7 linked regions of the Cricetulus griseus genome follow. The protein of the gene in region 6 interacts with the protein of the main gene of each other region in a pairwise test. Links are inferred from orthologs where the notes say so. Each region holds a gene or a part of one and is shown on either strand. Other genes may lie near its edges.

Evidence for each region.
Region 1: the proteins of Gfap (region 6) and Pdlim1 interact in binary tests that used the Homo sapiens proteins (3 or more experiments, as listed by UniProt). The link is inferred for Cricetulus griseus from reciprocal best matches to the Homo sapiens genes GFAP and PDLIM1.
Region 2: the proteins of Gfap (region 6) and Abi2 interact in binary tests that used the Homo sapiens proteins (3 or more experiments, as listed by UniProt). The link is inferred for Cricetulus griseus from reciprocal best matches to the Homo sapiens genes GFAP and ABI2.
Region 3: the proteins of Gfap (region 6) and Cwf19l2 interact in binary tests that used the Homo sapiens proteins (3 or more experiments, as listed by UniProt). The link is inferred for Cricetulus griseus from reciprocal best matches to the Homo sapiens genes GFAP and CWF19L2.
Region 4: the proteins of Gfap (region 6) and Zc2hc1c interact in binary tests that used the Homo sapiens proteins (3 or more experiments, as listed by UniProt). The link is inferred for Cricetulus griseus from reciprocal best matches to the Homo sapiens genes GFAP and ZC2HC1C.
Region 5: the proteins of Gfap (region 6) and Nxf1 interact in a two-hybrid assay, tested with the Homo sapiens proteins (3 studies listed by BioGRID and IntAct). The two-hybrid records come from large-scale screens. The link is inferred for Cricetulus griseus from reciprocal best matches to the Homo sapiens genes GFAP and NXF1.
Region 7: the proteins of Gfap (region 6) and Trim27 interact in binary tests that used the Homo sapiens proteins (3 or more experiments, as listed by UniProt). The two-hybrid records come from large-scale screens. The link is inferred for Cricetulus griseus from reciprocal best matches to the Homo sapiens genes GFAP and TRIM27.

Annotation. Positions count from the first base shown.
Region 1 is NC_048596.1:21,316,375-21,320,669, reverse strand, and holds the start of Pdlim1 (PDZ and LIM domain protein 1), read right to left. Parts: upstream 2,801-4,295; 5' UTR 2,684-2,800; coding exon 2,588-2,683; intron 1-2,587. UniProt on the Homo sapiens protein: Cytoskeletal protein that may act as an adapter that brings other proteins (like kinases) to the cytoskeleton. Involved in assembly, disassembly and directioning of stress fibers in fibroblasts.
Region 2 is NC_048595.1:414,643,676-414,647,612, reverse strand, and holds the start of Abi2 (abl interactor 2), read right to left. Parts: upstream 2,801-3,937; 5' UTR 2,654-2,800; coding exon 2,537-2,653; intron 1-2,536. UniProt on the Homo sapiens protein: Regulator of actin cytoskeleton dynamics underlying cell motility and adhesion. Functions as a component of the WAVE complex, which activates actin nucleating machinery Arp2/3 to drive lamellipodia formation.
Region 3 is NC_048597.1:118,136,824-118,139,755, reverse strand, and holds part of Cwf19l2 (CWF19-like protein 2), read right to left. Parts: intron 1,557-2,932; coding exon 1,455-1,556; intron 1-1,454.
Region 4 is NC_048598.1:118,485,549-118,489,048, forward strand, and holds the end of Zc2hc1c (zinc finger C2HC domain-containing protein 1C), read right to left. Parts: intron 798-3,500; coding exon 534-797; 3' UTR 63-533; downstream 1-62.
Region 5 is NC_048596.1:51,336,284-51,340,563, reverse strand, and holds the start of Nxf1 (nuclear RNA export factor 1), read left to right. Parts: upstream 1-1,480; 5' UTR 1,481-1,635; coding exon 1,636-1,663; intron 1,664-4,280.
Region 6 is NC_048600.1:115,230,590-115,232,944, reverse strand, and holds the end of Gfap (glial fibrillary acidic protein), read right to left. Parts: coding exon 2,269-2,355; exon of another isoform or gene 1,196-2,268; coding exon 1,110-1,195; exon of another isoform or gene 543-1,109; coding exon 501-542; downstream 1-500.
Region 7 is NC_048596.1:243,527,678-243,531,931, reverse strand, and holds the start of Trim27 (zinc finger protein RFP), read right to left. Parts: upstream 2,801-4,254; coding exon 2,381-2,800; intron 1,264-2,380; coding exon 1,168-1,263; intron 1-1,167. UniProt on the Homo sapiens protein: E3 ubiquitin-protein ligase that mediates ubiquitination of various substrates and thereby plays a role in diffent processes including proliferation, innate immunity, apoptosis, immune response or autophagy.

The sequences.
Region 1 (4,295 bases), on a different chromosome or scaffold from region 6:
TATTTAAATAAGAGGCACTCCTCTCCCTGCCTAATTTTATGGTTTGCTTTGGTGTGGAGCCTGCAAGTCTACTTACACAAAAAAAACGTACTTGCAAACTGTATCTGCCCAGGATAATAAATGTGGCACACAGCAGCCAGAAGGTGGGCAGAGCTCTTACCAATGCTCGCTCCTCACCATTATGCTCTGTTTACAGAGCACTAGACATTCTTCAACTGGTAGCCAAGGGCTGCTGTTACCCCACTGCAGTGATTAAAAAAATAAATAAACTCTGGGTGCTTACCTTAGGTACCGCTTGGACAAGAACTAGACTCCAGACCAATGCCAGATCCCAGACCACCCATGACACATTCTCTTAATGACAATCACTTTCTCAGTCCCAAGAGGTGAACAGAGGCAGTGATAAGGTGAAGAGGCAAGTAAATTATAGCCAGTATCACAATGACAATGTCTCTGAGTCATTTTCACTTTTCAATTAAAACACTTGCCAAAGGCATAATGAAGATTAGCTTCCCTCTAGAGCTGTATCCTGTCAGGTCTGAGGAGTTTGCATTTGGCATGTGCTCATTCACCATGAGTGTGGAGTATGGACTAGGGATGTAGCTCAGTTGGTAGGGTGCTTGCCTAGCATGCATGACGTCTGGGTTCAATCCCCTGCGCTATGTGCCACACATCCCAGCACTCAGAAGGTGGGAGGCAGGAAGATCAGAAGTTCTTGTCGACATACAGAGTTCAAAATCACCCTGAGATACAACATGAGAGTCTATTTCAAAATAAAAAGGAGTAAAATTAATTAATGCATGAAGGTCCAAAGCAATGGATTCGGTGTGTTTTCCAGTCCATGCCAGCTTCATTTCTACACTGTGCCGGATGGACCATTGTGCTATTTTCCCAGTGGTGTTAGAAGCAGCCAAATGACAAGCCAAGACTACCCTTCCAACAGACTGCCACTGTATCCTCCCCTGCTTAAAAAGAAGGTTTCTTGGAAATGGAGAGGACTGACAGGTTAATTATAGACACAAAGAGCGGGAACAACTGGCCTATGAGGTAACCAACTCTAAATGTGCAGAGGCAGTGCCCTCCATAGGGAAGCATTTGCATTCTGTCTGCAAGGACACACTAGGAACAGTCAGGTGCAGTCCTGGGCCAGGCTTAGTCTAACAGGTCAGGTTGGCTAAGACACAGTTCCCGTACTTGAGAAGTTTGACTGGAGGGTGGGAAAGCATCTCATATCTCCAATAACAAAGAAATCTCTGGACGATGACATGGTCAAGGGGAAAACCAGGCTGCCTGCTCATTTGGAGTAGGATAGTCAAAGAGCTGGTTGCTGAGCCAGGCCCACCTGTAAGAAAGCCTGAGCTGCAGGCCCTGCGGCTGGCAGAAAGGCCAAGGGGAGCCAGGAGTGCTTCTGCAACTCCCATCCATCTCCTTCAGGGGCTGGAAGCATGGCCTTACGTCAAGAGGACCCATTAGGATCTTTAGCTTCTACTTCCATCCCAGAATCCCTCTAAGAAAAGAGGGGTATTTCCAAAACTGGGGAACCAAGTTTAAGGTCAGCTTCAGCAAGCAAACGTACCAAAGAATAGAATGTGGTCCCTCTAGACCAAGCATTGCTGAAGTTTCCCCCTCTCTCCTTAATCAGAAGATATTTAGTAAGACACACACACACACACACACACACACACACACACACACACACACACACACCCATTCTATCTGAAGGAGCAAAAAACGTTGACTATCACTGGGAAATAGACCTTGTTTGGCCCAGATCACATACCCAAAGTGTGGACCTTCAAATGCTGAGCCCTAGTCTCACAGGGGGTTACATTTCATTTATGGATCACAAGTCTAGCAGTCTGTGATGGGCCACCAGCCCTCCCGGAGATGAGGCCCAGCTAAGAGGTTTTCAGTCATCGCCACCACACACAGGGTTGGAACTACTCTTCCAGGAGGAAATGAACTTATCACAGATAACCTGGAGGACAGAAAGGTGATCTAAGCACCTGAGGCAGAGCGAGTCTACTGAAGGTTTATCTGGGGTTACTTCCCAACTCCGCTGTTTCCTGTGAAAGGCTTTACAGAGCTGAGAGCCAGCAGCTATGGGGTCAGACCTTCAGAGTGTAAAGTAGTTGTTTCAGTTCTTAGCTAAAAGAATCCCACTCGCCTTCCAGGGAACTCCTCTGTACTCCCATTCACCTTCCAGGACTTTCTGCTGCTTCCAATCAGCGCTCCCCAGCTCTTCCACTGTGAAGAACAGGGCGTGCTAACTCCCAGCGCGCGGGGTCTGCGGAGCTCCAAGTCTACACGCCCGGGCACAAAGAGCGTCTGCGTGCCATGCCACGCTTCCGGGGCGCAGAAAGAAAACTGTCTTTGGCCTTGGCGCGGCAAGCAAGGAGCCCGCTTGCCCCGGAGCGAAGTGGCGGGGAAGGGACAGCGGATGGCACAGAGCGCTCAGAGCACAGCGCACCTTGATGTGCCCCGCCGCGGTCGCCGCGGGCTCCAACCTCCCCGACTCCCCTCCGGGCGCAGCGCCGCCACCCTACCGAAGCGCCCGGTTCCCACGCGCGTCCCAGGACACTCTTACCCGGGAAATGGCGAGAGGTTGCTCGAAGTCCTTGCCGCCTACGAGGCGGAAACCCCAGGGTCCCGGGCCCTGAAGGACAATTTGCTGGGTGGTCATCGCTAGGCACAATCAGAGGGGACAGACGGGCCAGGCACGGAACAGCAGGGCGCGCAGAGCTCCCAGAGCAGCTGTCGGAGAAAGAGCGCGCCGCGCGGGTTGGGAGCTCCTGGAGCGGGCGGGGACGCGAGCGAGGGCGGGGACAGATCCGCCCTCAACCGTGTCGCTGCAGCCCCGCCCGGTCTCAGCCTCCACTCCCAACGCGTTCACAGTACCTCGCCAGACTCAGGTCGCCCGGTCGGGCTCTGCGGCTCCGCCCAGCACCCCCGCACCTCCTCCCGCGTCGCCTCCGCGCTACCCACAGCCGCTCTGCGGCTCCCAGCCGGGTGTGCGGGCTGGGTGAGACCTGAACCGTGTCCCTACTCACGGTGGGTCCTACAAACCCACGCAGTGTGCTTTGCAAAAAGCCGAAAAGGGCTGAGTGAAGTCACAGCCGTTTTCACTTTTGCTTTTTGGACATTATAGGGAAGTGTAAGAGGTACCTTCAACGATCTCTCGTGACGCTATGAGAAGGCTCTCTAGTCTCATTTTACAGATGAAGTAATTGAGGCTACCGGACGATAAAAGACACCCCTAAGGCTACACAGCAATTAGGGGCTGCTACAGAATCACTTCCCAGGCTCCTTGTGCTACCCTGGAAGTCTTCCAAATGCTAATAAGTCTATAACGGGGAAGGGGGTTATAATTAGGCTCCAGGACTTTCCTAGAAACCTTTCCTCCCGGCTAGAGTTGGAAACGGAGGCAGGTTCTGATCTTCCCAACAGCTCAGTCCTGATGTGCTGGATGGACCAATGCCTGGAACGCTTCCTAACCCTTTCTGCTGTGAACTACCCCAGAAGCACGTTCCAACCTTAGCCACACAGGCCTCCTACTCAGAGCCTTGCCACCACCAGGCCTTCATCGAGAATACCCTTTTCCTTCAGACATGCCAAGGCTTTTTTTCGTACAGATACCATCTTCTTACTAAGATCGTTTCTGAGAGCCATTTAAACATCCTCTCTAAAACGCCTGTCTTCCCCTGCCTTAACCTTCTTCCTGTCACTATCCAGTCTACAGTTTACTTATCTGTTTGTCCCACCCACATTCCTAAGCACTAGTTTCAAGACTGGAAATGTTTTTGTTTTTTGTTTTGTTTTTTTTTTTCTGGCAAGCTGCTAGTCGCTGTGTTCTCAGGCTAGAACCACCACTTGATAGATTAGCCAACTCCAAGACCACTGACTCCCTCTGGACACCACAGTTCTTCTCGGTCCCATTCATTCTGGAAGCTGGACCCAGGTTGAATGAATCTGTAAAATGAACAGCTCCTGTGTCCTTGCCATTCTGGCCAACCTTCTGTGGCGCTCTGTATACAGATTTACACATGAAAGGATCATCTGGCCTCTCTCCCAGCACGAAGGCCTGTGTCCGGGAATGATTAGTTCATTCTTAGTAATCAACTTCATCCCGGTTTTCTAGATCAGATCTCCTCAAACTTTTTCCATTTTCAACTCCTTTTCACCCAGAACAAATTTACCTCAAGTATATAGGTATGTATAATAGGTATACACGCCAAACAATTACTGAAAAAGTCTGTTTATTTTATATTAGGGCAATGACTCTGTCAGTAGTGTTG
Region 2 (3,937 bases), on a different chromosome or scaffold from region 6:
CAGACAGCATCAGGACCCCTGCTGGTCAGTTCTTGAGTCAAATGTACAGCTGGGTCAGCACAAATCAACTATCACCAGTTCTAGTTATCATGTAAGAAGTGTCACCTGGGAGAGCACAACTGTAATAAATCCAGTGATTCCCACAATAGAGGACAACCTAAGCAATCAAAGTACAAACTCTACTTCAGGTGCTAAATTGAAAACAGATGATTCAAAATTCAAAATCCATTTCTAGGAAATTATTATTTGTGCTTTTACCGTGGGCTCAGAGTATAATTCAGGTAGAGTATATTTTTAACACGCACAAGACCCTAAACTCAATCCCCAACACCAAAAATAAGTACGTAAATAACATACCAATTTTGACACTTCTCTTTCAGCTAGAATTATAAAATTTAAGACAAATGCTGATTTTACACTTTTCCACTAGATCAATTCATGTATGCTTCCCTTTATGTGGCAATTATAATCTAACATAGTAGCATTAATCTTCCAAAGACAGACAAACCTGTTTCTTATTAGTCGGCTACAACTACAATCCTATCACTTTTCCATCCCCCAGTTTCTCTTCTGACAGACACTTTCCCACAATATGCTACATGAGGCAACAGAATTAGCACTTTTAGGTTTGCCTCTCCTAGCAGCTGTGAATCCCTGAAAATAAGCAAAACCTCCCTACCCACAATCCACTACAAAGTATAAATTAACTATACTTGACTTTTCCCTCAGTATCCAATAGGGATCAGTTCTAGAACACCCCCCACACCAACACCACAGCCCCATCCCAACATCTCTGGATACTCAAGTCCTTTACATAAAACTGCATATTTACATGTTATCCATAACACATCCTCCTCCATATTTTAAATCTACAGGTTACCTACAATACCTAATAAAATGTAAATGCCCATTAAGTGTTAACACTATCTTTTAGGGAAAGACAAGAAAAACGTCTCTTTGCATTTATACAGAGGGAGTATTTTCACTGATCAATTTATTGAATCACAAATGTAGGACCCTCCAACAAGAAGGGCTGACGATATATAGTACTAATATGGGTTTAATTCGCTCACAGATCAGCCTCTTGAACTACATTATAAACCCCTGAAGACTTTAGGAGTGTACCATCAACAGTTCTGGGCCAAAGAAGACTGGTGAAGCTAAGCAATAAAACCTTTTAACTCCTACACAGCTCTGTATTAGCAAGTATCTTAGGGTTTTGATTTGTTTTTAAATCAATCTGTAACCAAAGTCACACTTTCTTCCTACTGAACACACATTTTCAACTCCTTCTTTGAAGGGAAAAGGATTCCATTATGTCAGATTCATTCCCCAACACAAATGTTTGCAACAGTAGTAGAGTTCAGTACATGTGTAATCAATGAAAAACCTAATGACATTATCTCTGATTAACCATGTGGTCCCCAGAAAACTTATGAACCTATAAATTATAGAATTTTTAATATATACAATTCATACTAACTACTGAGAATGCTTTCCAATATAACTGGTTACGATAAGGGTATCTGCAGAGATGGGAGTAGGAACAAGAATGTTTAAAAAGGGCTAACAGCTTAACACCCTGCTTCCACTTTATCCAGAGAACATAAACGAGGCACAACCCAAAATTCCGTATATGCCCTACGGAAAACAAGAGATACTGGATTTGAAAATCATTAGTTAATTTTTAAAGCGTTGTTTTAACCCATAAGATTTTTAACATTCATCCATGACCAGCTGGTTCTCATCTCACCAATGTCTTTCCCCCACCTTCTCACCTTCCTACACACACCCACTATGAGTCCCGGTGCCAAAGCAATCATCATGGGAAAAAAACTAAGGTTCATTTTCGTAAATCTTTGTGAAAAATAGTCATAGTTCTTTTTCCCATAGGAAAATGACCTATTCTAACGGGGATTGGGGAGGAAAAGCAGCCCATCATCGGGCAGTTCCCCATTCTCTGTATTGAGAAAAATGCCATTAACTTGTAATAAGGGACGCCGTCCCACTGTGTCCCCTTTACAACCTTAAAAAAAAAAAATTAAACTTAAGGGTTAAGTATTTTTGTTTTGTCTTCAGGGGACATTCCCAGGAAGGGAAAACCGAAGCAATTCACTTTGCAGGAACTGGACCCCTTAAAAGCCCCTGGGAATTGGGCAGGAGGTAACATATCCCTCTATCACACACAACCCGGCCATCCGAGCAGCATTCCGTTATCTACAAAATGCCACTCGCCACCTCCTCCGCCGCCGCCCGGAACCCTGACAGGCGAAGAGTGCGGGGGCAAAGGGGCAGCGATGAGGAGGCGGGCCGCCACACACGCACGCACCGCACCGCGGACCCGCACGGGGCTTCTGGGGCGTTCCGCCGAGCCCGCTTCCTCCCGCCGCCGCCGCCGCCGCCGCCGCCCTCGCCCGTCCCCACCCCGGCGCGGCTCCCCGGGCCGAGCACCGCGCGGCCTCCTCAGGCGGCGGCGCCCCGCGCGCCCCGCACACTCCCGCGACCTGACGCGCTCAGCCGGGGGGACGCGACGCACCTGGATGTAGTTGTTCTCGCAGTAGTCGGCCACCCGCTCCAGATTCGTGTAGCTGTCGAAGAGGGCCCGGCGGCCCCCCGGGATTTCCTCTTCCAGCAGCATCTGCAGCTCCGCCATCTTCACATCCTCCTCCTCCTCCGCCTCCTCATACAGCCCGCAGAGGCAGCGGCCGCGACGCCTGAGAGAGGAGGAGCAGCGGCGAGCGCGGCGGGAATCGGGAGGAGCGAGCGGCACCCCCAGCGCGCGGCGGGGAGGGCGGGAGGGGGCGGGGGACGGAGGCGGGGGCGCGAGCCGGCGAGAGCCGCGAGGACGGTCACCGCGGCGACGGGCGGGCGGGCAGCGCGGGCACGCGCACGCGCGCTCCCCTCCCTCCCTCCGCCCCCGGGCTCCCGAAAAAGATTCCCACCCGCGCCGCCCCTCCCCCACTTCCGGCGTCTCCTAGCGACGGCAGGCGGGGGCCGGGATGCGCGCGGGAGCCGGGCTCCGGGTTAACCCTTCGGCCCCGCGCGGGCTTCCCGGCTCTGGAAGTCCCTCCGCTGCCTTTGTTAGCCCGGCGGGAATGCGCCGCCGCCGCCCCCATCCTTCACCTCGGTGCTATCCGCCCGAGGAAGCTCTCCAGGCCCCTCCGGAGGCCTAGGGAGGGCACGTTCACTCACACACCCTCTGTGAGAGGTCACACTTCATCAGGGCAGCCAGAGCCACTGAACTTCCAGGTAGCTCTAAATGCCACCTTGGACCTCATCCTCTCCTTTACAAAGTAAATTGCAGTCACCTAATCCCAAATCTGTTCATCATTCATTCATTCACTCATTCATTCATTCGTATTCCAGGTCTCCCTCTCTCCTATCTTTTTTGCAAAGTCTCCCCGAAGTAGACCAGGCTGGCTGAAATTACAAGTATATGTATGCTGTGGTTGCCCAGACTGGAGCTCCTCCTCTTTCTTGACTTTTTTTTCCCAAATTTTCGATGGTGGTTTTGCTGGTACTAATTTCATTATTCATATGGTTTGGGCATGAATAAAATTAAATGAGCGCACATTGAAAGATGTTTAATTAATACAATTCAAGGTAGTTCAACCTGATCTTGCTTGTAATCCAGATGTCAAATCTTTTTTCATAAATATGATTACCCCACATGGTGAAACTTGAAAAAAATAAAATAAAACTGGCATCTTCTGAGATATTGAGGTCACTTTTATTTGTTCTGTGGAAAACCCAAAGGGTACCATCTTAGAGGGTAGTTCAGGATTTGTGGCTTCAGCCTTTTATTGCTCTTGCGGTCACTGGCCCTTCTGCAATCAGTTTTCAGATGGATGAGGAAACAATTATACATTCCTTAAAAAAAAATAAAATGCATACCATCACACATTTGTGGAGTAAACCCTGTGTTGTTTCATTAGCT
Region 3 (2,932 bases), on a different chromosome or scaffold from region 6:
TGAAACAATGGGTCATAGTGATGTCCTTTCCTCTGGAAACACATTTTAAGACTATGAATCCAGAGCTATAAATTGAAAGCTAAAGAGCAGTTAAAAATCTCTAGGGAACAACAGGATTGTTCAAAGCAGTGAAAACAAAGTTTTTGAGTTTTTGTTTTTTATTTGTTGTTGTTAATTCTGTAGAAAAATCAGCAAACTTCTCAAACAGGGGATAGGATACACCTAAGTTGGTAGAGCAGTAGAATGCAGGCCAGACATGCATGAAGCTATGGGTTTGATCCACAAGGCTGTGGAAAAACAGGCATGATGGTACAGTCCTGGAAACTCACATCAGGAGGTGGAGGCCGGATGAACAGCAGTGCAAGGATATAGTTAGCTATGTGGTGAGTTCAAGACCAGTCTGGGCTATGTGAGAATATTTAAGTAATAATTCAAAAATGCATGTGATTTTGGAATGTGCATATTCATTTAAGGCCAGCAGCATAGTGAGTTCTGGATTGAAACTAATGGAGCTGTTTTCTCTTGAAACATCCCAATTTCATTGTAGAAGATTATCTCATGCAGATGAGAGCAGGGCAGAGGGGGAAGCAGGGTGGGAAATTATGAACTCTCAGCAGAGTTTATCAAGGCTGGTCTCTGTAGAGGCATAATCACAGAAAGGTGATACAAGAAGGCTTGAGCTAGGCCCAGATTCATTTTTGCCAATTTCACACACTACATTAATTTCATTCCAGTTCCTGAAGAGAATTTAGATACTTAGTATGTAGACCTCTAAATTTAAGGAATATGCTCTTATGAAGGCATTTTTTTTTCCCCCTGAAAGAAACTACTGGTAATCAAATGATGGGGATTTTCATACGTGCCCAGAACCTAACTGTGAAATGAGTTATTTATTTTTCCTGGATTATACCTTAACTACAAATGAAGAGCTAACACCATTTATTTTCTGTATTAACCATCACCTGTGGTACCTGGGTCCTCTCACTTAGCACATAACCCTAGGGAAATCACAGAACCCCTTTGCAATTTAGAGTTTTCCTATCTTCACAACAAATGTTAGAACAAAATCTAGACAGTAGAGTAACTGTGAGCACTAGATGGCTGCTTAGACAGTAGATGGGCACACTGTAAGCCCTCAATAAACATTAGCAAATAACATAACTTTCAGGACAAAGCTGACTCCAAAGTTAGGAAAACATTATAGTTACAAAGACTGAGCGAGCACAATGTCCAAAAATGTCTGTTACACAATGAAATTTCTGATTGGCTAATGAATATTCTGGTACTTTTTTCTTTTATTGTTAATATCACACACACCCCCACACCCTTCTCTGTCAAACTTGTATAGAAAACAACTCATCAAATTCTGTGATTCAAACTTTTTCTTTCACAACCTTGTGAAAATATTAACCAAACCACTAATCTTCAGGGTTTTATCAAATTTCTGAGTATACCTTTCCAAAGTAACGAGGAAATTTGTGTTGATCTTCAATGACATGGGCAAATCCTCCCTGAAGGCCAAAGTCTACAGCAAAGTAAGGCAAGCCTCTGGGCACCTGAGTAAACAAAAAATTACATATGAAGTAGGAAAGCTATGCCTTCTCCAATTTTCTGCCATGAGAGAACTAATCATCATCCATCAGGAGGATGTGTATGACAAATTTCCAATGACCTAACTTTCCAAGGAAAAGATTTCACTCTGATAGCCTTTCAGCCAGACAGAGCTTCATCAAGTCTAGCAATTCACAATCAAAACAAACACTTTTCTGTTCTTGAAGACAGTAGAAAAAAGGTATTCAAATATTTTTGTAGTGCCAAGAAACAATTTTTCTACAATTACACAAATAAAAGTATGTTTTGTTCATATTTTACTTAGGAAGAGAACTTGATCATATATTTGTGGCTGTGTTTATACACTTATAAAATCTTCAATATGATAATATTTATTAAATATAAATAAATTTATAATTTTTATTTTTATCATTACTAGTGAGATAAAATAGCAATATTTACTTTACCAAGTTAATTTCACAATACATTGGGATCAGCTCTCTATTATCCTTCTATTCCTCATTTTACACACACACAGACACACACACAGACACACACAGACACACACAGACACACACAGACACACACAGACACACAGACACACACAGACACACACACACACACACACACACACACACACACACACACACACACACACACACACACACGGGAGCGAGGGAGAGAGGGACAGAGAGACAAAGGAAGAGTTTTAATCTCCATACTGATTGAAAAGAGCTATAATTTCTTGTTTTCTTATCTGGCAGATTTTGCATCTTTGTAAGTTTTTCCTCTAAGTCCCAACTTTTAACACTAGAAATTATCGAGGTTGGTCAATACACAGTAAGTTTCTCCTCTAATACCATCTCAAAATCAACATGACTCATCTGGGCACTGATCCACATATTGCTATTTAAGTACACACAACTGGTATTAAATACTTAGGAAGGCACAACTCAGAGTATGAGGTACTATATGGTACAAACAGAAAAGTCCTCTTTAATCATTATAAATCAAATAAAATTATTGACAACAAAATGCTGCTCATTTAACAGGAAAAGGAGGAAGTTAAAAAATCAGTCTACAAAGTAGTATAAGCATAAAAAGGCTGCTTCATATATTTATATTTTTCTGTAGTTTTGTATTTTTAGATAATAGTCATGTATTGACAATTGAGAAAAAATAAAGTAAAAACAGATAGACAAGGTTTTATGTAGGCATCTGGTCTGTGGACCTGAAACAGTAGCCACACCCCTTTGGGTGTGGCTTCAGGCAGAAGGAATTGGAAAAAGAGGAGCTTGAGATGTGGCTTTTCTTTGTGCACTTCTTTCTGGTGGGTCAGCAGATCCCATAGGAAGAGCAGGGAAAGGCTCTAGTGGTTCTT
Region 4 (3,500 bases), on a different chromosome or scaffold from region 6:
TCAGCCAGGACCATGTGTCATGGAGGCCAAGGATAGATTTCCATTAATAATACCTCACAGCAGAATCTTGCTATCTTTTATTAGAGCTAACATGTGCATATGACAATGACTCTCTGACTTCAACTTACTCATCCTTATACCCCTACTTTGAAGAGCAAGAGGGCTAACAGAAACCCTGGATATGTGCCATGGCCAGAAAACACAACTAAATACAGGCACTTCCCCAGCACAAACCATGGTCAGACTCAGGAGACAAGAGCTTTAATGCAGCCTCACTATCCAGTATCCTTACACACCAGTTCTTGAGGCAAGAACATAAACACAGCCACGGTTATGACCCAGTGGGACACTGGGGCTTCCATCTGCCTCCTGCCAGGTAGCAGGCTCTCCTCCGGGGCAGTTTTGCTCTGCAGGCAGATCCTGAGTTCTGGAAAAGTTTTTTTTCCCTTGCTTTCTATCGCTTCCTCTGGTTTACTGCTGAAGGTACACACAGCCTCCTGATCTACACAAGGCAGTTTTCTGCCTTTGTCTGCTCAGCTGTCATACCTCCTTGGAGGTGGAGGACGGTTCTTGATGGTCTTACACTTAGGTATGTGTCGTTCAGCCACCTTGGGAGCAAAGTGGCGGCTGCAGTGAAGACACTGGACATAGTCTGGGTTTTCGGCTGGCAGGACAGGAGGCAAGTCTGAGGGGTTCCCACCTTTGGCGATGACCTGCTGGACCTGGCGAGCGTGGCGGAGGGTACGGATAAAAGACTCATGCTTCTGTCTCCAGGTGCTCTTCCGAGGAGGTTCAGTCTGTAATGGGAAAGGAACATTGAGTCTTCTGCTGCCATGGATCTCTCCCTTCTCTGGAGCTCCATGATGATGACAACAGTAGGGATGTAAAAAAGGTCCTTAAGACCAAAGAGTAGAAAAGGGGGAAGAGTGATGACTAGCACTGAGGCCTGACCCAAGGCCCCCAAGGAGGGGTCCTACCTGAAGCCCAGGCATTTTCCTGCCAGGTCCCCTGAGAGGGTTGTTGGGTCAGGTAGAAAGGAGGACGATGTAGGGATGAAAACAAGATGAACTTGGGGCTCCTCTCCTACCCTGTTTATCCAGGTGCCCAGTATCCCCAGTACCCTCCCATGATAAGAGAGGAAAAATTGTTCTCTGGAAAAAATGAACTAAATAGTTTTTAAAGATATTTATTTTTATTTCATTTGCATTGGTGTTTTGCCTGCATCAGATCCCCTGGAACTGGAGTTACAGATAGTTGTGAGCTGCCACGTGGTCCTTTGGAAGAATAGCTGCTGCTCTTAATCACTGAGCAATCTCTACATCTCCTTAAAAGATTTTTTTTAACTTTAATTTTGTGTGTGTGTGTGTGTGTGTGTGTGTGTGTGTTAGAGAGAGAGGTGTGTGTGTGTGTGAGAGAGAGAGAGAGAGAGAATGTGTGTGTGTGTGTGTGTGTGTGTGAGAGAGAGAGAGAGAGAGAGAGAGAGAGAGAGAGAGAGAGAGAGTGTGTGTGTGTGTGTGTGTATAAATGCCCAAAACTGAAGGCCGGAGAGGGTATCAGATCACTTGGAGTCACAGGTGGTTGTAAGCCACCTGAAGTGGGTGTTGAAAATTAAACTTAGGTCCTCTGGAAAAGCAGTAAACACTCTTAACCACTGAGATGGCTCTCCAATCCTAGATGGATTTTAGTTCAGAAAATCCAGACAGGATAAGGAGCAGGGTTCGCCTCAGCGCTGGTGTCGGGGAAGCCTGAGCAAGGGTGCCCAGCAACCACGAAGCTGTCAGATTGCCTTCTAAGATCAGCTCCCAGAGTGCCAGTGACTGTCATCCTCTTGGGAGGGACAACAATTCTCTGGATTCACCCAGTAGCAAGAAATGAACCTTCTAACACTGGCTTTGGGGGACCACATTACAGGACTCTATGTATGTATGAATGTATGTATGTATGTATGTATGTATGTATGTATGTATGATGTACACGGAAGTATGAAGTCCTTTAGTGAATAAACTAAGACTTAAATGAACAGCAGGATGTGGTGGTGAACACTTTTAATCCGAGTACTTGGGAGGCAGAGACAGGAGGAGCTCTGTGAACTCAAAGCCAGCCAAGACTAAATAGTGAGATCTTGCCTCAAATCAAAAACAAAACCACCAAATGACAGGCCAGGATTGTCAGATCCTTGATGAGAGCTTAGCTAAAGAGAAAAGGTTCCCCAAAGCACAAGAACAAAAACTGAGGAAACTGAAACACAGCACATGCACAAATGCACACACACAGAGGGGAAGAGAGAGAGAAAGTGAGAGAGAGAGAAATTTTAACAGATTTTAACAGAAAATAACATTAATAAAGTATGAAAAGATATTGTGTCCCGAGTATAGAAATGGCTCAGCAGTTAACAGCACTAGCTGCTCTTACAGAGGACCCAGGTTTGACTCTCAGAGCCCACATGGAGACTCACATTACTCTGTAACTCATTCCTTCATTCCTAGGGGATCCCATGCCTCTTTTTGCCCTCCTTGGGCTATGCACACAAATGGTGCAGACATACACACAGGCAACACACACACATACATAAGATAAATATTTTAAACAAGAAAGGTTTTGGTTTTGGTTTTTCAAGACAGGGTTTCTCTGTGTAGCTTTGGAGCCTATCCTGGCACTCGCTCTGGAGACCAGGCTGGCCTCAAACTCACAGAGATCTGTCTGCCTCTGCCTCCCGAGTGCTGGGATTAAAGACATGCGCCACCACTGCCCGACTACAAGAAAGGTATTGTATATAAAAGGAGTGTATTATAAAAGATGAACAGAGAAACAAAATAACAAAAATGTAAGTTAAAAGCCTGGTAGTCAAAAGTCAAATAGAAGCATTACAAGATAATAAAAAAAACTCTCAGAATGGAAAAAAAAGAGCAGATGGAAAGTAGAAATGAAAGGGAAATCAGAACATTCAACATGTGAACAAATTTGCTCCACAAAGGACAGAAAGCACAGTAAGTTATTAAACAATATGATTAATATTTGTAGAATCGAAGATTGAAAGTCTTGAAACTGAAATGACTTACCAAAACTCCAAAGCAATCACTGTAAAATCTTACAATTTTAGAGTAAAGAAAACAGTATTGACTTTTGGAAATGAAACAAAATAGTTTTCATAAAATGAAGCAGGAATCAAAACATTAGATTTCTCAACAGTAAACACTGGATGATAAAAGCTAGAAAGAAATAACATCTTAAAAGCTCTAATAAAGGGCTGGAGAGATGGCCCAGAGGTTAAGAGCACTGGCTGTTCTTCCAGAGGTCCTGAGTTCAATCCCAGCAACCACATGGTGGCTCACAAACATCTGTAATGATATCTGGTGCCCTCTTCTGGTTTCCAGGCATATGTGCAAGCAGAACTCACAATAAATAAATACTTTTTAAAGCTCCAATAAAGTGAAGAATCATGAAATGTTTCTTTTCTATTTTTATGACTTTTATTACATTTGTTCTTTGGCAATTAAAAC
Region 5 (4,280 bases), on a different chromosome or scaffold from region 6:
TTCTAGGACATCTCAAGCTATGTTGGGGCCTGTTTTCCATCTGTATTCGCAAATCACGTGGCTTTGATTCTTGAATTCAGTGAAGCAAGACCTCTGTTGCTGGGAGCAGAAGAGAATTTGGACCCAGCTTTTGGCACCTTCTAAGACCCTCAGCAAATCCAAACCTGCCACTGAAAAAATGGAGGCAACCCACCTAACACAGACTCTGGAGGAAGGTTAATAAGCTATTTTGCCCTGATTAGTATTGACGTCATTGCTCCATGCCTATGGATGTCCCATCTGCTTACTCCCCCGCCCCCAGCAGGTTCAGGAATCTCAGGCCATAATAGGGTCAGCCCTAGTCACACTGAAGGTCATCTATAAGAGCTCTTGGCACACGCCTTTAATTCCAGCACTCTGCAGGAAAAAGCAGGTGGATCTCCTGAGCTTGAGGCCAATGTGGTCTGCAGAGCAAGTTCCAGGACAGCCAGGGCTACACAGAGAAACACTCCCAAAAATAAAATCCAATCACTACTATTGACTCCCTGTCCACCTAGCTGATCTGGGTCTACCTAATAGGGATGATGGTGTTTAGGACCTCGAGTGTAAAGACCAGTGCTCACTATGTCCCTGACAGGTGCATTTTATTTTTGTTTTGAGACAGTGTCTGTCTATGTAGCTTTGGCTGTCAGGGTGTTCCCTGTATGGACAATTGTGGCCTTGAACTTCCAAGTACTGGGACTAAAGAATTAAACCACCATGCCCAGTTTGATTTTTTGAAGCGAGATCTCTCTACATAGCCCTGGCTGTCCTGGAAAGTTCTATGTAGACCAAGCTGGCCTCAAACTCAGAGATCCACCTGTCTCTGCCACTCAAATGTTGGGATTAAAGGTGTGCGCCATCATGCGGGACTTGATGCTGGTTTTTTGGGGGGTGGGGAGGGGTTGTTTTTGTTTTCCTAACAATTTGTGGAGGGCCTAAAAGAGACAGGATTTCATTTAATTCACACAGGTTTCACACTTGGCTCGGTACTGAGCCAGGCGGGCTGGAGGAAGAGAAGCTGTGCATTAGTTAAGGTTCCTGCTCCGGTGGAGCTTACATTCCAATTTTCTATTTCGTCACAATCCATCGTAGAGGCGAGGAAAGCTGGGAGGGAATAGGCGTGCGGCTGTCAAGGAGCTGAGCTGCGACTTACAAGCTGCCGGGAATCTCACCGACGGAGACTGTGAGCCGTTACTCCCACTCAGAGGCTAGGTCTTCATTTTGTGTGGCTCTGGTCCCCGATTCTCAAGAATTCAGGGCTAAAGCAGCCCGCTCAACTCCAGAGCAAACCCCGACACAACTGGGACAGTGGAGAAGCAGGAAGGCAGAGACGGCCAACAAGCCATTGCGCCCCGAGCTACGGCCGTGGGCGGGCCTCGAAGGGCCTGGCCCCGCCCTCTGGAGGCAGCCCTGCTTCTGCGCAGGCGCAGAGAGCGCGTTCTCGCCCCGCGGCACCGCCCACATCCTGGGGACGTCGGCGGCGCGCGACGTGCTTCGCCGGATAAATGCGGTGGCGCCGGTCGTAGGAGCGCTTCAGTCCTGAGCGCCAAGACGTCTGGGCGTTTGGTGTCGTCAGGTTCTGCGCCTGAGCCCTCCCCTGTACCTGCCTGTGCCATGGCGGACGAAGGGAAGTCATACAACGGTTAGTTCGGGGCCTCGGGTCGGGAGGCGGCGCGGTGGGCCGGAGTGGGCGGCCCCGGCCTAGGCCGCAAGCCCGGGGGCGGGAGGCCGCGAGGAGTTCTGTGTCCGTGGGCAGCGGTGGCCGCGCGGGCAAGGATGGGGCGCCGCGGGACACAGGGGCTCCAGAGTCGCCCGGATTCTGGCGTTGGAGGACCTGTGGCTCAGGGTGGGGTGACAAGATTCCTTTGAACTTTGAGGGTGGTTGATGCCTGTCAATTGAGTTTGGCGGCCCGACTCGTCCTTTAAATGTGAGTCAGTAGTACCTTGTTCGTGGGCTGCTTTGGTGCCCTATTTTTTTTTTTCTTTTAACGCGATCAGTTGGTCTTTCAGCTTGCTCCTTAATGTTTACCAGTTTCCTAGTTCTAACAATTACCTTGATGGGTTAATTCATAGTGGTGTTTAGGACGGCATGACAGGTGATTGAATCTGGAGTTGGCTTTGCTAACCCCGACGGAGTTAAACTTTCAGGCCTTGTTTTCCGCCTCTTTCATGTGGGTATCTTGTCTTCCCAAGTTTGCGTGCGTGCGTGCGTGCGTGCGTGTGTGTGTGTGTGTGTGTGTGTGTGTGTGTGTGTGTGTATGAGATAATTTCTGTCAAGTGGCTGGAAGTGAAGATTTTTCAGTGAACCTTAATTGCACTGTGTTTTCACTAGAGTCACTTGGTGAGGGTCATTGTTTACAGGACGATAGATATGAGGTAGATTTCTTTGGAAGTCATGAACCTTTTTGTGTTTGTGTGGTGCTGATTTATCCAGGGTCTGAAAAATCCTCAGCCCAGTGAACCTTTATTTTAACTAAAATATAATTATATGGTGGGTGGCAGTGGTGCACACTTTTAATCCCAGCACTCGGGAGGCAGAGGCAGGCGGATCTGTGAGTTCCAGACCAGCCTGGTCTACAAGAGCTAGTTCCAGGACAGCCTCCAAAGCCACAGAGAAACCTTGCCTGGAAAAATAAAACAAAACAAAAAACAAACAAACAACATGTATGTATGTATGTATGTGTGTATGTATGTATGTATGTATGTATGTACGTGTTTTAACAGGATCTCCCTCCAGTTACTTTCATGTCTACCCACTCCCCAAATTCATACAACCTGAGTCCATTTAGTGTAGCTAGCATGTACTTATTTTTAAGGCTAACCATTTGGCCTTGGATAACCATTTAGGGAGTTCATCCCCGTTGAAGACTAATTCTCCCTTATAGGGCCAGTCTTAGTACCCCAGGCTGGCCTCATAGTCAGTCTTTCAGTGCAAGTCTCCCAAGTTTGGTATTGTAGGCACGTACCACGAGACTTATTATTTTGTGCTAGATGAACACTAGGCCTTGCATACACCAGGCAATCCCCTCCCATGGAGCTAAATTCTCATCCTTTTTGTTGTTGTTTTGAGATGGTCTCACTAAGTTGCCCAGTCTGACTTGAAGTTTCAAATTCTCCTGCCTCAACCTCAGTCTGTGTGTGTGTGTGTGAAGGATAAAGGTAAGCACTTTACCAGCTGAGCTGATCCTCAGTCTCCTTTTGTGTTAGTGCCTACATGTATATACATATAAACCTATACACAACGTCTGGCTTTGAACTCTACAAAGAGGAGGGTGACCTTGAGCCCCTCTGATCCTCTTGCCTTAAAAACAGTATACTGTGGCCAGGCGTTGGTGGTTCACGCCTTTAATCCCAGCACTCGGGATCTCTGTGAGTTCGAGACTTGCCTGGTCTACAAGAACTAGTTTCAGGACAGCCTCCAAAGCCACAGAGAAGCCCTGTCTTGAAAAACCAAAAAAGAAAAAATTTTAAAAAACATAAACACAGTATTTTACTGCACTTGGTTTCATTTATTTACTTTTTTTTCTTTTTCTTTCTTTTTTTTTTTTCAATATGTAGCTCTGACTGGAACTCACTGTATAGACCAAGATGAGGCTGGCCTTGAAAACTCACAGAGATCTGCCTGCCTATGTCCAGCTCATTTTCCTTTTTTTTGTTTTTTTTGTTTGTTTGTTTTTTGTTTTTTTTTCTTTCCCCTGAGACAGGGTTTCTCTGTGTAATAGCCCTGGCTGTCTGGAACTCACTTTGTACACCAGGCTGGCCTTGAACTCTCAGAGATCTGCTTCGGACACATGTGTATTAGAAAACACTCCAGGACCCTAATGTGGAACTGCCAGCTGATCCTGCATCTAGAAGTCCCTTGAGGTGCAGTCACTTCTGCTCACAGAAATGAGCATTGCCCAAATTCAGAAGGACAGTTTGAGAGCAAGGAGGTGGTGGTTGTTACTAGCTTATGTAGACCAGGCTGGTTTCTAACTCACAGAAAATCCACTTACCTCTGCCTCCCGAGTGATGGGATTAAAGGTGTGAGCCACTACCATCTGGCTATTATGTGGTTTTAAAATAGGTCATATTTGTAAGTTTTTTTTTTCATTTTTTGAGACAGGATCATGTAGTCCAGGATGGCTTTGAACTTGTGTAATTGAGGCCTCCACTTCCCATTTGCTGAGATTACAGTTGTTTCCCACATCTGGCTCTGTGGCCCTCATTTGTATGTATAGGCAAAAGATCAAAAATTTCAAGTGGTTTTCAGGGGTGCC
Region 6 (2,355 bases):
CTTAGTGGCCATTCCAGGTAGCAGGTCTCCCCACCCACTCCTAGATCAGTCAGGGCTATTCTGGAAACAAGTCTCTGGCTAGAGCTACTTTGCCTTGGGACCTCCCCTTTCTGTCCGACTTTCTGTCTTCCTTCAGCAGCTAGTGGAAACTCAAAGTCCAATTCCCAGAGACCATCAGCTCTGGCCACAGTTTCCATAACAACAAGGATGAAGGAAATGATTTGTTAAGGCTCCCTGCTCTGCCCAACTTTCCTCTTTCCTTCCAATTCTAACCCAGCTGCTGGCCCCTCCCCTCCTGACTGCCCCTTTGGGGTGAGTATCCTGTTAGTTGGAGGCACAGAGTATGTACCATCTGTCAGCAGTAAGGACTGAGCCCCGGGCAGCAGACAGGCATAAAAACAGAGGGAAGGGGAATGCTGATGTTGAAGGGAACAGGGCTATCTGAGGGGGAGCTCTGGGCCCTTCACACTGTCTGGCAGGGGCCACCAGGTGGGCACACCTCACATCACATCCTTGTGCTCTTGCTTGGACTCCTTAATGACCTGCAGGGGACAGGGAAGGTGCACAGTGCACAGTTAGGGGTGACATAGCTCCCAGACCCACCATGCTAGGCTGTGCATCCTGAGGCAAGCTCCCAACTATCCTGACCTGTCCTCCCTTGACTGTCATTGTAATTGCATCATGCTGAGGTCCAATTGGGGTGTGAAATGCCACTTGTAAAGCATCTAACACCATGCCTGACACTATGGCACAGGAGAAGCTATCTCTGTTGCCACCCCAACAAATAGAGAAGGCCATGCATGCTGTGTCTATCTCCTGTTCCCATTCCTCTCTGGAAAGCTCCTTTGAGTAAGATTTGAAGGCCTTTTCTTTCCCTAACTGTCCCAGTCAGAGCTGAGCCATCAGGAGGCCTTGGTACCCGGGTTGCCCTTAACACACCACCTGAGGAAGGGTTGGGAAAGGAGAATTGCATTCAAGGTCAATCCCTTCTTCCAAATTTCCATTGGGAGCCCCGGTAGTTAGTTAATAGGGACCTTCTGTGAGCTAGTCCCAGGCTTTCTGCAGTCTCGCTTCAGGAACTCCTGGGGGCAACCAGAGCCTTTGCTCACCTCACCGTCCCGCATCTCCACCGTCTTCACCACGATGTTCCTCTTGAGGTGCCCTTCTGAGACGGACTTGGTGTCCAAGCTGGTTTCTGCAGGTGCGAGGAGAGGAGGCCTCAGTGGGCTCTTGGGGCACTAAACAGCCTGTCCTGTATCCAGCTTCCCATCATGCACCCAGGGGCATGAATACAGGGCTATCTAACTAGGTAGGGAGAGGCTCAGTTTGCCCAAAGTGGCTGGAGACTCCCAACTGCCCCCCAGCACAGACACATCTTACTGCTGTCCTGTAGCCCACGCGGCCTTCTATTCTGGCACCTGGCTTCCTGACAACCAAGGGCTACATCAAGATAGAGGCCTCAGTTTCCTCTCTTACAAAAAGTGCTCACGGTGCCTACTTCCCTGGAGATGGTGATGGGGTGACTAACACATGTTAACATGTGCCACAATTAGTGATTAATACGTGTGGGACCCTTCCCCATCCTTACCTTTTTCTGTCACTTATCTGGACTCTAGTGGCCCTTGACTGTCTAGAATTTGGCACTATTACTTTTACCTGGTCAGCATAATTAACTTTCTAATGCTGAATTACATCTTGAAATATGTATGGCCAATATTCCTACGTGAAATTTCCTCCCTGCATCTAAGAATCACTTAAGGGCCACATACCAGTAAAAAGTAATTTGGTCCATCCCCCTTAGAGAGGAAAATAGAACATGTCACACTCAGTAATATTTAAAATGAAGAGCAGGGAACATAAAACTTTATTCACTACAAGAGCAGCAGTCCAGAGGGAGCTAATCCTCTGGGCTGAGTCAGCATTGAGTGAAACAACAGAGCCTTGGGGACCCATGAATCAAACACAGAGCCTGCCCAGAGGCACTGCAAGACCCAAGGGGACCACCTAGTGACAGCAAAGAGGTGAGGCAGAGGCTGGCATTTGCTCAGCAGGAACATTTACTCCCAGGGACAAGTCCCCTTTAACATAGGCTAGCTCTGTTGGTATAACCTAATCACACATAGCCAGGACGGGCTTGGGACTGAAGCTTCTGGAGAAAGGTCCCTGTCCTTTAGAGGAGGCCAAGAGGAGTGGGGAAATAGGCTTGATGATGCTCTCTCCCTGTCTAGCTGGGATAACACACAGCTGAAAAGCAGGCATCTATCTAACCGAGAGTTGGCGGGGCTGCGTTTACAATCTGGTGAGCCTGTATTGGTATAACTTGTACTGTGAGCCTTTTGAGATGCCTTGTGACTT
Region 7 (4,254 bases), on a different chromosome or scaffold from region 6:
AAAAAAAAACCAAGAGTTCTAACAAAAGAATTATAAGTGTGCCAGTGCATACCTGTAATCCCTGTACCTGGAGAGACTGAGCAAGGAATATTGAGAGTTCAAAACATCTCTGGCCTACATAGTGAAATTATCTCTAAAGAAATAAGCAAATGGCTCTAGAACAGTCAAGAAATATTGTCCTTGAATCCAGCCACATCCATTCACTTATGTATTAGACATGGATGCTTTTGAGATATAGTAACTGGGCTGTTTGTGTAAACCCACAAAGTTTAAAAATACTACTGGCCCTTTTTAGAAAGTTTGTCAAACCTGATCTGAACTCAGCTGTTTCAAGTGCTCCCCCATCACACCTCTAGCCAATCTTCTTAGGCACTTATCAGGCATCTTCTATCAAGCACTTAGGCACGCACACGCACGCACCCACCCCCCCTTTGGTTTATAGACCCTTTCGATAAGCTCATACCTCTTCTCAGCTGGGTAAGTCTTTCAAAGGCATAAAGCATACAATGTAATCTTAGATGTACAAAATTAAAACTAAAAGAAACCTTAACGATCATGTTTCCTAAAGGGTGTGACTAACACCCCTACAGGAACAATTTGCCTGGCATAGGTCTGTTTCTTGCTGTAAAACACTTATCAACCTTGTCCCACATCCCCACTCAGTCTTTGACTCCGCCCAAAACAAGCCATTTACCATTTCAAGGGCAGAAAGGGCAGCACTGGCCTGCTGGAGAACCACAGGTTTCATCTGACCTCTCTGTTTCACAAAGAAATGAAGGCCCAGAGAGGCTGTACCACCTCTCCATTTAAACTGGCTAAGTGTCAGAGCCAAAAAGAAAATCCAAGGTTCTGGATTCCTAGAGGCTGTCTCTCTCTGGACAAAACCTCCCAGAGACCTGACATTGTTCTATGTGTAATTTCAGTTTACTCAGGATCATTGAGAAGTTTCCTTCATCCTATTTTCAAGCAAGGGGTGACAAGGTCTCATTCAGCCCTACATGGCAGAGCTAAGTGGTGGGACTGACAGACATCATGTGCTGTTTGGAAGTTTCTCACTGCACCCTGGCCAAGACTGAGACTTCTCAAGGATTACCAGAGACTGCTAGTAGTTCAAAAGTTTACTGCCCAGATGCAAGGCCTCTGCAGGGTGGAGATCTGGACCCTTACCAAGAGCTCAGCTCTGGCTTGCTCCCCCTGTGCCCGGCGTCTCTTCTTCAAGTCTTTCACTCTTCTTAGATGGTCCAGCCGATTCTGGATTTGTTCCTGAAGAAAGCAAACAGTTGGGCAGTTGAAGATCATGCAGATTCCAGCATCAGAATAGTTACTCTGTGTATCACACGGGAACCCAAACTAGAGGTGCCAAGGCCCGGCTGCACTGTCCTCAGACCACAATGCCACTCCGGGGAAGAGCCCAAAGCACAGGGGCCAGCACAGCTCTGCTTTAGTGATTTGTTTTAAACTCTGAGCCACCTACCAATTCCTAGATGGGTTCTGCAGAAGTTATGAGACATCTGGGTAAGGAGGCTCAAAAGCTAAGGTGTACCTCTTCTTCGGAGGAATACAGAGAAAATTATTTATTTATTTTCCTCACACACAGAATCAGTAAACATCACTTCTCCAAACTACGACTCATCACCAGTGAGTGAACTGATACAGCTCTGTAAATGGAACTGACATTTGGATGAACTCACATTTAAACAAATACAATTCTGTTTATGTGTGTATTATCTCTGCAGCCCTCAAAATAGACTCATTGTCACTTTAGAGCTCCTTTATAAGTAACATTTTTGCATTACTGTGTAGCCGTGCCAGTGTTTATTCAACAGTTCACAAAGGCCTCTTCAGGTCTTGTGAGTTCACTTACTCTTCATAACAACGGTTATCTCCCGAGTCTCAGAGTGGCTAAATGATTTACTCAAGTAGTAAAGAACTGTGTTCATTTCCATTAGCTTCTAGAACAGGTTACAGGGAAGTGCTGGGGACATAGATTAAGTGATAGGCATTGCTTGATGTGAACTCAGCCAGCAAACAGCAACTGTTTAGTCTGATATCCCGGGCCAGATGAGTTCGAGGTCTCCAAGGCCTACCAAAGTGGACAGGGCTCGATGTGCATCTCCTTTGTCAAAGGGAGGGTCTCCTCGCGCCGGTCCCTGCCCCGCACGCGTTGAGGCAGTTAACAGGGGGTGCTGGGAGAAGGGATGGGGGTGGGGACGCATCTGGCCTCGCCAGCTACAGGTTCTCCTTCCGAGTCTGAGTGCGGAGGCCCCGCAGCCGACAAGGAGGAAATGACGGCGCTGGGCCCCACGTCCGGCTCGCCATTTTCTCGGCGGCAGGCCGGGAAGCCCCCGGCTCGCCCCTTTGTCCGCCGGCCCGGCCCTACCTTAAAGCCCTCCACCGCCTCCTCCAGCGGCAGCACGCTGTGGCCACGGTGCTCCCGCGAGCGGTCGCACACCACGCAGATGGGCATCTGGTCCTGCTCACAGTACAGCTTCAGAGGCTCGCGGTGCTTCTCGCACACGCCCATCTCGCCGCCGGGCCCCGACGGCCGCTCCGTGCGCAGCTGCTTCACCAGCTGGGTCACGTTGGCCAGGTGCCGGTTGGGCCGCATGTGGCGCTGCGGGAAGGTCTCCCGGCACTGCGGGCACGACACGTTAGTCTCCGCGGCACCCCAGCAGCGGGCCAGGCAAGCGCAACAGATGTTGTGGCCGCAGTCGAGCATCATGGGCTCCACGAAGTACTGAAGACACACGGGGCAGGTGGTCTCCTGCTGCAGGCACTCGGCCACGCTCCCGGAGGCCATGGCGCGGGCCCACTGGGCCGCAGGGCATGAGCACGGAGCCGAGCTCTAGCGGAGCCCGGCGCGCTCGCTCGGCTTCTCCGCTCCGGAGCGGGGCGGGGCCTCCGAGGCCGGGATCCCAGACGCGTGCGGAGCTCTCGGGCGGCCACGTCAATCCCCGCACAGCTGCACCCCGCCGACAGGGAGGGAAGGCCTGGGTCCCGGAGCCCGGCAGGGGGCCGAGCAGAGGGGTGCCGGGAGCCGGGGGCCGCGGACTGGCTCACAGGGCAACGTGGCCCCGTCGGAACGAATCCCCGGGCCGCGCAGACTCCTCAGGGCCGAGCGGAAGAGGTGGACCGGGGGCGGGGCCTGGCTTCGCGCGCCACTCTCCTCCCGGCCAGAAGGCGGGTTTTCTCAGCGCTGTCCTGGAGTCCCCAGAGCCGGAGGGAGACCCGGCACCCAGCCTGGGGATCGGTGGTGGTGGCGGCCCAGCGCCGTGTGCGCAGGGTGCCCCGGCCGTGGGGTCTGCGGGACCGTAGTCTTTTGTTGGGCTTCCTCTTAGTGCCTAGGCCTCGGCTCCTTTAAAAGTCTGATGGCTTTGTATAAGTGCTGCGAAGCCGGGCGGGGAGGCCCGATAAGCCCCTCCCTGTGTGTGAAGCACTCTGAAACACACCCAGCTCCAGGCGATTACCAATTGCTAGAAAAAGATTGAATTAGCAGCAACTTTTCTGAAGGGCAGAAACTGAGAAGCCCAGGTCTACTTCCACCGTGAAGTAAGTGGGTTTACCGTCCCGAGCCTTCTTTTCTTCTGATGTGAGGTGGAGATTGTTAGAATCCGGACCAGGGCGCTGATCATCAGACCCTGAAACCTACTGAAGTCCTCCCCGTTCCCCCTAGCATCCCACGGAGCCATCCCACGGAGAGCCCGCTTTTGAGTCCCTATCTTCTTAACAGGCTCCCTAAGTGCCCAAATTTCTCACTTCACCAAGCCAGGTTGCCAGACCAGACGTGCCAAAAGGGCTAGATGGCGACACACCTCCCTGCCCTCTTCCCTGCCACCTGGTGAGGAATCAGCCTAGCTGCAGGTTCCTAAGAGACCCTCTAAGGACCCGGATTCTGCCACTTGAGCCTCGTTCTCAGAATCCCCCTCCCCCGACCCCACCCCCAGGCCTGCTCCCTATGGCGCCGGGGCCTGAAATTCTGAGAGTATGCGGTGCTGTGTTCCTTCCGCACTTGGCGTTAATAATTCTAGTAATTTCTTACTCCCAACAATCCGCTTCAGTGTCCCCCTTGAGCCACATACTCTATGTCTTTCAGGGATATACCCCAGCAAGGAGTTGTATTTTTTATTAATTCATTTTTTACATTCCACTGTTTTGTTTTTTAAGTTTGAGCCATGAAGATGTTTACCCATTAGCTTAAGTAAAATACCCAGTGCATTGGATAGCATTGAGTAGAACCTAAAAGTTGCTTGTTTC